3 linked regions of the Mus musculus genome follow. The protein of the gene in region 1 purifies or fractionates together with the protein of each later gene. This does not show direct contact. Links are inferred from orthologs where the notes say so. Each region holds a gene or a part of one and is shown on either strand. Other genes may lie near its edges.

Evidence for each region.
Region 2: the proteins of Carm1 (region 1) and Smarcc1 purify together in Homo sapiens (affinity purification with western blotting; 3 studies listed by BioGRID and IntAct, with this or other methods). This does not show direct contact. The link is inferred for Mus musculus from reciprocal best matches to the Homo sapiens genes CARM1 and SMARCC1.
Region 3: the proteins of Carm1 (region 1) and Rela purify together in Homo sapiens (affinity purification with western blotting; 4 studies listed by BioGRID and IntAct, with this or other methods). This does not show direct contact. The link is inferred for Mus musculus from reciprocal best matches to the Homo sapiens genes CARM1 and RELA.

What each region holds. Positions count from the first base shown.
Region 1 is NC_000075.6:21,574,384-21,578,028, reverse strand, and holds part of Carm1 (histone-arginine methyltransferase CARM1), read right to left. Parts: intron 3,543-3,645; coding exon 3,436-3,542; intron 3,136-3,435; exon of another isoform or gene 2,616-3,135; coding exon 2,511-2,615; intron 1-2,510. UniProt on the Homo sapiens protein: Methylates (mono- and asymmetric dimethylation) the guanidino nitrogens of arginyl residues in several proteins involved in DNA packaging, transcription regulation, pre-mRNA splicing, and mRNA stability.
Region 2 is NC_000075.6:110,130,571-110,134,872, forward strand, and holds the start of Smarcc1 (SWI/SNF complex subunit SMARCC1), read left to right. Parts: upstream 1-1,453; 5' UTR 1,454-1,546; coding exon 1,547-1,738; intron 1,739-4,302. UniProt on the Homo sapiens protein: Involved in transcriptional activation and repression of select genes by chromatin remodeling (alteration of DNA-nucleosome topology).
Region 3 is NC_000085.6:5,643,953-5,647,597, reverse strand, and holds part of Rela (transcription factor p65), read right to left. Parts: intron 2,274-3,645; coding exon 2,193-2,273; intron 2,086-2,192; coding exon 2,011-2,085; intron 799-2,010; coding exon 182-798; 3' UTR 1-181. UniProt on the Homo sapiens protein: NF-kappa-B is a pleiotropic transcription factor present in almost all cell types and is the endpoint of a series of signal transduction events that are initiated by a vast array of stimuli related to many biological processes such as inflammation, immunity, differentiation, cell growth, tumorigenesis and apoptosis.

The sequences.
Region 1 (3,645 bases):
AGGCCCCATCCCTGGGAGAGCTAAAATATCACCAAAAGAGTATATGCTTTAAAGGCCCCAAGCCCTGCTTGGGCTTAGACCAACAAGAAACCAGTAGCAGCTGAGTGAATTTGGCTAGGAGGCCTGTGAGAATGCTCCATGGAGATAAAACCTCTAGGGTCTAGAGACCCTGGGGTAAAACCTAACTAAAGCCTGGATGAGCCGCCCCCCACCCCAGCCCTCCATCCTGCTGCCACTATCCCTAAGCATGCTGATTAGAGCTAGGTATAGAGGTGTACATCCATGCTCTCATTGCTGAGGACTGTAAGCTAAAGGATAGCCTGAGATTATAGAGGGACATAGTCTCAAAAGGAACAGAACAAAAACACAAGCTCCTGGGCTGGAGAGGAGTTAAGAGCACTGACTGCTCTTCTAAATTCTAAAGGTCCTGAGTTCCATTCCCAGCAACCACATGGAGGCTCACAGCTATCTATCTGTAATGTGGTCCGAAGCCCTCTTCTGGTGTGTCTAAAGATAGCTACATTGTACTCATATACATAAAATAAAGAAATAAATCTTAAAAAATCAAAAAATAAAAAAAACCCAAAAGGGTAAAAAAGCCACAGGATGAGAAGGGAACTATTTGCTATGTGGAACACAGAGGCTCTAGATGGGACATGGTGCTGCATATATTCAAGCACTTGGCAAGTGGAAATAGTGAGTTCAAGGCAAGCCTGGGCTAACTCAGACAACCCTGTCTTAGTTTACCCTCTACACCATAAAAAAAGAGAGAAGAAAAAAAAGGGCCCTAAAGATGTCCCTTAATTTACAATGGGATCAGATCCTCATGAGGCAAAACTGCATTCAATCTGCCTGACCTAACATCTCAGCCAGCGGGACACAAGTTCAAAACAGCTATACACCCACAGCTGGGCCAAATCATTCAACAGGAAGCCTGAGTACATCACACAATTTATAAAGACCAAAAAGACTACACATTCCCTGGGAATAGCAGCAGCTCCCCACACCTATCTATGTGAGTCTCACATAGTCCAGGATGGCCTTGTCCTCACTTCCTCCTACTTCAGCCCCTCAAGTGCTGGGACTGCAGGTAAGCACCACCAACCTGGGCTGAATGGCAGTTAAGTATGGAGAGTAGGTAGTATTGGGCAGTAAGGTGCAACAGGCCACAGGAGGCCAAGGTAGGAAGACTAAGTATAAATGCACTGGACAACACAATAGGGCACTGTATTACAACACCCACACATACATCACCCTCCTCCCCTTTTCCCCCTCACACACAAAAAAGGCACTCAGAAGAGTCCTACCCTACCTAAAGGGTACTAAAAAGGTCAAGAACATGCTGGATTTTTCTCATCAAGCCAATTAAACACACCATCAGCAATGATGGCAGGAAAGGCCTGGGGTGTGAGTTCAGACAGATGAGGCAGAGCAGGAGTTATAAGCTCCAGGAAGCAGTGAGGCCACTCCCCTCTCAGACTGTTCCCAGTGTCTTTGACCCATCTTTGAAATCTTCTGTGAGCAGCTGGCAAGCATGCTTCCCTGAACAATGTGAGCTGCTTGGACAAATAGCTGTTGGGGGCACCCCAACTCAGCCATCTGTCAGAAGACTTGGGAAAGGCAGCTGCAGCTGGCTGGCCCATGACACTTAAAAGTTGAGGGTGGAGCTTTATGGGTTGAAGACCCCATCCCATGCGCTCTCCACTCTTGCTCTAGGTAGATGCAAGGAGAACTGAGATAGTTGAGAGCAGGCTGGGTCCACTCCTCCCACAGAGCTCACTGCTCCCCAAAGCTGCCATGTGACTATGAGATTGGTGTGGCTTCATTATTTCCAGCTTTCCCCCTCCTTTTTCCTGAGAAAGGGATTCACTGTGCAGCTCTGATTTCCAATTTAAAGATATGCCTGCTGCTTCCTGAATCAAAGTTGCATGCTGCTCTACCCAATTTTAGAGCATCAACCTCTTTATCTAAAGCTGCCTTATTTTTCTACAATGCTACAATGGACGCCAGAGTCCTCATCATGCTAGGTAAGCTCTCCCAATTTATAGTCGGTGACCTTCTTGGCAACTTCTCCTGAGTGCTGAGACTAGAGTTAGGTTCCATGTAAAACCTATCTTTGTCTAGTATGCTGCAGTATACCTGAGGCAGAAAACAGTATGACCAAAGTCATGTTAGAAGGAGCAAAAGTATTCTCTGTAGGAAGGGGAAGAAACAACATAATGGTAACTAAAAGAAAATGGAATGGGGGAGGTGCTCAGGTCTCAGGATTCAGAGGCAGAGGCAGGCAGATCTCTGTGAGTTTGAGGCCAGCCTGATCTACAGGACAGCCAAAACTACACAGAAAAACCCCATCATGACACCCCCCCAACGCCCCCCAAAAAAGAAAGCCGAGGCTGGCTCAGAACAACAAATACAAAGGAGGTAACAGAAGTGGGAGGGAGAAGGCCCTGCCCCCACCCCTCAGCACACTGCAGACTCTGCTCAGTGTGCTTCCTGTTCTGAGGGCTCACCTTGTCCTTGAAGTCCGTGTGGTTCTGCAGGATCGCACGCTGGTAGGTGCCTGTCCGCACATAGTCCTGCATCATGTTCTGCTGCTGGGATAGGTAGCCATAGAACTGGAACAGACACACACCAATAGCACGCGACACGTGGCATGACGGACTGCCACAGCCCTGGCTGCCCTAAGATGGAGGGAGGGCCTGACAGCGTAAACCTCCCTTGGGAGGTCATGTACCCTCTGCCAGCCTGTACCCAACTGACAAGAGCCAGCTGCTCCAGAAGTGGGAGCAGGGCTGAAGGACAAAGCTAGATGTCACCTGAACTTGGAGGCCACCCAAGAAATCACAGACGTTGTCATGGGTGGGATTCTAACATCTGGGGGCCAAATGTCTCATCTTAGGGCCCCAAAGAAGAAGAGGAATGGATGGAACAAAACCCTAGAGCTCAGAGCGCCAGGCAGGTGATGTGCGGTGTCTCTCTGTAAGACAACAGGCGATCAGGAGGCAGCGTGGCACCTGGCAGGGCCACAGGCTTGGGCATCAGGCAGACCTGGCTTTCCCATCGTGGCTCTGTTGCATAAGAGCTGTGTGACTTGGAGCAAAGTCACTTAACCTCTCTGAGCCTCAGATTTCTCATCTGTAAAATGGGGACAATAACAGTTGTTGGGAAAGTCCAAGTGCTGCTGAGCATGTAAGATTGCTTATACAGAGCCTTACACTCACTAAGGGTTTAGGACATGGCTACAGTTCAGTCATTACTCTAAACACCTGAGGCCCTGGGCTTCACAGATGAGGAAACTGAGGCTACGCAGCTAGTAAGGGACAGAGCCAGGATGAGCACCTGTGTGGGCCTACCCTGTGCTGCGTGACCTCCTGTGGGAAGGGAGGGGAGGGAGACACCAGGTGCTTGTCTGTCCCAGGGCAGGTGCCAGCTCACCTGGAAGTACTGCACAGCTGAGGATTCCTCTGTCCGCTCACTGAACACAGAGCGCTCCAGTGTGTGGCCCCGACAGGTTTTCAGGATGTTGTAGAAAGAACAGAAATCTGGAAAGGGGGAGCCAGATCACCAGGAGGCCAGTGCTGTACACCTCTGAGAGAATCCACAGGGCCTGGGCATTTCTTCTTCCTGTCTGCCTTTCCTGACTTG
Region 2 (4,302 bases), about 89 Mb from region 1:
GAACTTTTAAATTACATTTATGCATTTACTTTATGTTGCTTATGTCTGTGGGTGTGAATGTGCCATGACAAGCATGTCATTCCAGGCTGCCTGTAGAAGTCAGAGGACAAGTTAGTTGGTTGGTTCTCTCCTTCCATTGTTCCAGTTCCAGAATTGAATTTAGGTCGTCACTATTGGCATTACCCGCTGAGCCATTTCACTGCCCTGCTCCATTTTGTTGTTGAGACAGGGTCTCTGTATGTAGTCTTGGAACTCACTATGGTAACAAGCTGGCCTAAAAGTCAGCGACCTCCTGAGTGCTAGGATTACTACCACCCAGAATTAGGTATGGGTGATGTATGTGTGCCACAGTACACAGTCAGGGTGTAACTTCGTGAAGAATTTCACCTTCTACTTTTATGAGAATTCTGGGGTTCCAACTCAGGTTGCCAAGCTTTTTAAGAACTGAGCCAAATACATAACCTGAGACAACTAGTCTCTTTTGTTTGTTCAGGCAGGGAGGGTTTCCTGTAGCCCTGGTTGTCCTGGCTTTCAAGCTCTATGTACATCAGGCAGGCCTGGAACTCAGAAAACCTCCTGCTTCTACCTTATGGGATTAAAGGCGTGCACACTACATCTTCTAGGCTATCTCCATTTTTTTTTAAGGTCTATAAACTCATCACACCTCCTCACTTGGAGCTTCGTGAACATATCATGTTCACGTTTCCAATACAGCCAATACATTGTTTACAATGTAAACTTTCAGCCTTCATATAGCCTTCAAATGTAGATAAAGCGTCCAGTTCCCAACGCGGATGATAAAAACACCAGGTTGAAGAGAGAGCTACAAAAAAAACCGTTGGGTAATTGTGATCACTTGTTCACTCAGGGACTGGTTTTCTGGAATACTTTTAAAGTGATGAATTTGAGAGAGTGCGAATCACAAAGGAAGATAATGTCCAGGTCGCAGAAGTAGCTGGAGCTAGGCCGACTAAGCAGAAACCATCTGATGTGGTTCGAGAAACATTAATGAAGCCCCAAGAAAGACTAGGTCTTTAATGCAGGTCCCCAAACCGACGCGGCCTCCGGGACTAGCAGGAATTGCTTACTAGCGCTCGGGGGCGGGTACGCGGGGGGGTGGGGTGGGGTGGGGCTCGGCTCGCACTGCACACCCTAGACCGCTTTTTCTAGTAGAGATACAGAACCTCCTTGAGATTGTTGACCGCCTAACGAATAGACAAACGGGGCCCGGAAGAGTCATTCGTAGTGTCTACCAACAGCAGAGGCTGAGGCTCAGTTCCGAGAGACCAGAGGAAAAGGCGGGCAGCCTCAGTCCGTAGGGGACTACCGGCGTGCTGCGCATGCGTACGCCCGCTCTCAGTGCCTGTTCGTTGCAGCTTTAGGGTCCAGAAGGGGCGTGGCCGCGCCTCGGCGCCGGAAGAGGGTTGGCTGGGCGGGGCTAGGAGGAGGAGGAGGAGGTGGCATCTGCGCGCGCGCGCGCGGGTGCGAACGGGAAACGCCGCGAGGGCCAGGCTAGGCCGGGCGGTAGACACGACGGACGGTGACTATGGCCGCGACAGCGGGTGGCGGTCCGGGAGCAGCAGCAGGCGCCGTGGGTGCAGGGGGTGCGGCGGCGGCCTCCGGGCTGGCCGTGTACCGGAGGAAGGACGGGGGCCCGGCCAGCAAGTTTTGGGAGAGCCCGGACACGGTGTCCCAGCTAGATTCGGTGCGAGTCTGGCTGGGCAAGCACTACAAGAAGGTGGGTTCGCGCGCGCCCGTGGGGACCGAGGAGCCACGCGACGGGGGCTGATGGTGGCTGCCCGCTTCGCATGTCTGGGGCCGCCCCTCCCCCCCCCCCTCCGCGCGCCACGAGGGACAACAAAGGCCGGCTCGGCGCTTGCCACGCCCCCGCGGGCGACTAGGCACGCGGCGACCTGGCCCCAGCTGCTGGCTCTCTGGGGCCCACGTACTCGCGTGGGAAGCCCCATCTCACTCTCTCTTATGTGCAGGAGAGGTGGAACTGGACAGAGTCGCAGAGCGTGTGTTTCTGTTCTTTTGTTAGCTGCCTTAGGTGTGTGAACAAAGAGCCCATCCTAATAAAAGTATCTTGAAGTTTTGTTTAGAGACCAGTTGTTGAGCGTCTAGGTAACTAAGGGCTTGCTACCCTATGTGGATTAGTAGGGGACCTTGGATGACTGGCCTTGTGGATTCATGTAGGTTTAAACCTTGTATTGTACAATTGATATAGAACTATTAAAAGTGTTGGTTTTCCACTTCATTGTACTTTAGGTGGTGTGTAAGGATGTGAGTACAAGCGAGAGTTAGGTTTTTTTGTTTGTTTGTTTTGTTTTTCGTAGCCCTGGCTGTCCTGGAACTCACTTTGTAGACCAGGCTGGCCTCGAACTCAGAAATCCTCCTGCCTCTGCCTCCCAAGTGCTGGGATTAAAGGCATGCGCCACCACACCTGGCGAGAGCTTAGTTTTTATCATATATATATTTTTTGCAATGTTAATTTTTTTGGGAAAAGTGTGTTTCCCGTACTTTAGAATGCAAATTCTGCTGAGTCAGTTGTTTTACAAAAGTCGTGAATTAACCCTTTGTTGACACTTTAAAAAGAATTACAACTATTTACTTTGGAGGGGTACACACAACTCCTGTTTTCATGTCCACTTAAGCAAATCAATTCTCCTCGAACACCATACTGGTCCAGGAATTGAACTTAGATACTTTTTTTTTTTTCAGAGACAGGGTTTCTCTGTATAGCCCTGGCTGTCCTGGAACTCACTTTGTAGACCAGGCTGGCCTCGAACTCAGAAATCAGCCTGCCTCTGCCTCCCAAGTGCTGGGATCAAAGGCATGGGCCACCCGGCTTGAATTTAGATCTTGATGCTTGTGACAAGTGCTTTTACCCATGTGTTTCCACCTCACTGGCCCCAATAATACCTCTAGTAAAATTTCACCTTTATATAAATGTTGAAAAATGAATCCCTTAGTTGATATGATGAAACATCCAAAACACTTCCTCTACTCTTAAATTAAGTAGTAGTGGTTACCCCATTGCGGACCCAGAGTGGGTGTTGAGATTTACAAGCCTGAAAATGCATCTCCATGTCCTGGCTCATAGTTGACATTTAACTGTCTCACCTTGCATAATAGTTGTTTAGTGTTTGTTGAATGAATGAAAAGTTAAACTAGGACCTGGGGATTTAAATCAGTTTGTAGAGTGTTTGTTTAGCATGGGTTAGGTCTAGAGTTTGAACCCCAGCACCCAGCAGAGAGCCACCAAAACCAGGCATTGGTGGCTCTCTGCTGCAGTCTTTTGAGAGGTGTGAAGTTCAAGGCCATCCTTTGTATGGATGGAAGGTTAAGACAAGCCTCAAGTACCAATATCAGACTCTGTCTTAAAAAACTAAAAAGGGACAGACTAGTCTGAACCATTTCATTCAGTGTCTGCAGCTTAGTGAAGCCTATTTGTGTTTGACAGGGAGCTTGGGTTGCTTTGGTAATACACTGGTGTTTTCAGAAGTGGTCATGTCTCTAAAGCTTTGAAGTCAGAAATACAGTTGACTTATTTCTGCTTGGTGTACCTTACACTTTGTCCTCTTCCTCCTCTCCCTGCTCTCCCGTTTCTGACACCATCTCACTATTTAGTCCAGACTAGCCTCAGACTTAGAAAGAGCTGCCTCCTGTCTTCGCCTAGGATTGTAGGCATGGGCCACACACTGGTTCATTAATTATTTCTATTGCATTTTACAGTGTATTTAGGACATACAAATGTAAAGGTTTCTTTGTGTGCGGAACATGCATGTCAGTGTCCACAGAGGCCAGCAGAGGGCGTCTCATTCCTTGGACCCGGATGTAAACTGTATTATCCGGGTGCTGGGACCTGAACTCTGGTCTTTGGGAAGAACAGTAAGCAGTCTTTTATCCTCTGAGCCATCTTCAGCACTAGAACAGAAATTTAAATATCAGCAATTAATATGAAACAAGTGAGACATGAAAGGTCTCTTTTCTTTCTGCCTGGGCTATAAGACTTCACTTCCAAAAACAAAACAAAAAACCAAAACTCACTGCTCCGAAGCCCCAGAGCTCCTTTTGTGGGCCGCAGATCCTGCTTTCAAGTCTAGAGTTCTGGGATTATGAGGATGAGCCACAGTGGTGGACTCAAAAAAAAAAAAAAGTTTTGGTTTTAGTTTCTCTGTGTGGTTGTTTTGCCTGCGTGCATGTCTCTGTACCAGAGTTTGTCTGGTGTATGTCTAATCTAGAAGAGAGCTTTGGATCATCTGGACCATGGTTTTGAGCTGCCATGGAGTGCTGGGAATC
Region 3 (3,645 bases), on another chromosome or scaffold:
AGGTTAATGCTCCTGCGAAAGCACCTCCGAAAGCGAGATAAAGAGTAAAACGTGCCGCCCCAGAGAGATCACCCAAACAAGTCGGGGGCAGCTGGAGCACACTCCCCAGAATGTGTACGCACTTCGGGAAGGCTTCAGTGCCCTGAAACCTGGTGCTCTGAGCAGGGTCGCTGTCAGCACCTTAGGAGCTGATCTGACTCAAAAGAGCAGAGAAGTCCATGTCCGCAATGGAGGAGAAGTCTTCATCTCCTGAGAGACCATTGGGAAGCCCCGAGGTCCCCAGGGGTGTGGGAGCTGGGTCAGGGGGCCTCTGGGACCCTGTCACCAGGCGAGTTATAGCTTCAGGGTACTCCATCAGCATGGGCTCAGCTGTGGAGTGAGACATGGACACACCCTGGTTCAGGAGCTGCTGAAACTCTGAGTTGTCCACAGATGCCAGGTCTGTGAACACTCCTGGGTCTGTGCTGTTGCCAAGCAAGGCCCCCAAGTCTTCATCAGCATCAAACTGCAGGTGCAGCAGGGCTTCCGACAGCGTGCCTTCCCCAGCCTGGGTGCTCTTTGGAACAGGTGCAGACAGGGACTGGGGAGGACCCGGGGTTAGAACTGGGGCAGGAGCTGGGGGCTGAGCCAGAGGTACCATGGCTGAGGAAGGGACCATGGTCTGGGCAAGGACTGGGGCAGAGGACGGTGCCAAGGCCAGGGCCTGGTTTGAGATCTGCCCTGATGGTAACAGCATGGGGGAAAACTCATCAAAGTTGATGGTGCTGAGGGATGCTGGGAAGGTGTAGGGCTGCGGGGCTGGAGAGAGAGACAAAGAACAAAGGCTCAGAGGCAGTGAGAGACATACACGGCCCCTCTGCCACCACCTGACCCAGCTCTACCATGCTTAGAATCAGTACCTTTCTGGGAACCAAAATCTGACCAGGCCTGTAGGGTCCACTTCCAAGGGCCACAGTGAGGTGTTCCCTAGCTACTGCGGTCATAAAGCTCTCACCATGTTACAGCTGCAAAGCCAGCGAAGAGGATGAACCATGGAGCACGGGCTCAGTGGTGGGAGTCTGTCACTCTTGTGAGCCACGCACCAGAACCCACAACCTATTAATTTTTTTTTTTTCAGTTTTTCAAGACACGGTTTCTCTGTGTAGCCCTGGCTGTCCTGGAACTCACTCTGTAGACCAGGCTGGCCTCGAACTCAGAAATCCGCCTGCCTCTGCCTCCCAAGTGCTAGGATTAAAGGCATGCGCCACTACCACCCAGCCCAGCTTAATTTTTTAAATAAATGTTTTTATTTGTGAGCATTTTGCCTGCTTCTATGTATGTGCACTGCATGCGTGCAGCGCCCTTGGCGAGCAGCTATAGCTAGAGACAGCTGCTGAGAAGAGAACCCAGTGCCTTTAACCGAGCCATCTCTCTAGCCCCACAACTGATTACTTTAGAGGTGATTTCTTCTTTCTCAATTCAATGGAGAGCTGAGGGCAGAGACATTTCCAATGTCTGTATCTCAAGGTATCCAACTCAGGGATTATTTAGTCCCTTGGTACCAAATATTGAATCTAGGGTCTCTGGTGCTAGGCATGCGCTCTACATGAGCTGTACCGTATCCCTGCTTTTACTTTTAAAGCTGAGACAGGGTTCTTCAAACTGACCTTAAACTTAATAACCTTGTAGTCCAAGATGGCCTTGAACTTGTGACCCTCCTGCCACACTCTCTTGAGCAGCAGGGAATAAAGGGCTCAGGGTTTGACAGGAGCATGGCTTCTGACTTCTACTGACTTTAGGAAATGGCCAGTTCCTGTGCCACACTTTCAAAGCCTTGAGTTTATCAGTCTGTGACAAGAGCCCTGGATGGTCCTGGCAGAGACCCCGGCCTCCCCCTGAGAAGTCCAGGCCCCATGGAGAGCAGATTTCAGAACTCTGCAGGTGAGACCAATTTGGTCCCCTTCTAGAAGATACTACTTCAGTCTGAACAAATGAGACCCTCATTCTAGAAAAAGAAAAGGACTTCCTTACCTGGCTTGGGGACAGAAGTTGAGTTTCGGGTAGGCACAGCAATACGCCGGGTTGGAGGCCGGGGTTCAGTTGGTCCTACAGGGCAAAAGCTAAGTCAGCTTTCAGACCCCGGGTGTCCTCTCACTGACTCTAGGACTTGGCTGGCCTGCCCACTCCTCTCCCTCAGGCTTTCCTCATCTCACCATTGAAAGGACTCTTCTTCATGATACTCTTGAAGGTCTCATAGGTCCTTTTGCGCTTCTCTTCAATCCGGTGGCGATCATCTGGGAAAGCAATATGGATGGTGGGTTTACTCTCCTTAGCCGGGCTGCACTTCTCCCTTCTATGGGCTCTCCAGGAGGGTAGTGGAGTCATAGTTTCCTAAGACCTAGTCTCCCAACCAGTTAAGAAGGGATGTGTGACCTTCAGAGAAGGGTCTGTTGGTTGAATCCTCTTCCCCCCTGGTTTTTTGAGACTGTCTCACTATATACAGTCCTGGCTGTCCTGGAACTACACACACCAGACCAGGCTGACTTCAAACTCACTGAAATTCACTGCCCTTCCTCCAAAGTGCTGTAACTAAAGGTGTGGGCCACACAGCCAGCCTTGTTGGTTGTCTTGACCCCTGCTCTGGGGGACAAGAGCCTAGCACGCCATCTGAGCTGCTCACAGAAGCATCCACGTAGGTGGAGAGGGAAGTGCTGTGGGCAGAGCATCACAGGCCGAAGGCTCCAGACTCAGCTCAGTGTATGGCTTCTTCCTTTAGTTTGAAGCTTCAGAATTATTTGACCACCTCAGCTGCACACCGTCTAGGTGAAGCAGTATTTCACACCAGGGCACTGCTTCTTTCCCCTGTGTCTCCCTGTCTGTCCTGGCACCCAAACTGCAACCTGGAACAATTCTGAACATCATTTTTTCTTTCAATCCTCCAATACTAACTCAACACCACTTGCCAAGCACCTACTAGCAACTGGAGATGAGTAAGCACACAGAGATTTAGTCATCAAAAGGGGACCTTAAAAAGTACCAGGATCCAGAGAAACCTTGTCTCAAAAACAAAACAAAAAACAACAAAAGTGCCAGGATTCCTTTTGGCTGTTGAAGTCTCAATTCCCCCACCCCACCCCCACAGGAAAAAAAAAACACCCTAATTTATTACATTTATGTGCGTGTGTGGCCAAACAGTGGTGGTATATGCCTTTTAGGAGGCAGAGGCAGGTGCATCTCTGAGTTCAAGACCAGCCTGGCATACAAAGTGAGGTCTACGACAGCCAGGGCTGCACAGACAAATCCTGTCTCGAAAAACAAAACAAACAAACAACAAAAAACCCCAAAGCCCCCAAAACATTCATGTGTGCATGTGTGTTGCAACAAGAGGTCAGAGACAATGTGTGAGAGTCACACATTGAACTGTCACACTCTGAACTGTCTCCTTTGATCACGTGGGTTAAACAGAGGTCCTCAGCTTGACAACTCTGTCTTTTTTGAGACAAGATCTCATGTAGCCTTGGAGAGCATCAAACTTCCTATGTAGCTGAGACTAGCCCTCAACTTCCGATCCTCCTGTCTTCACCTCCCCAGTGCTGGGTTACAAGTGTCAGCACCACACCTGGTTTGAGGGTTACTAGGGACTGAATTCAAGGCCTCGTACATGCT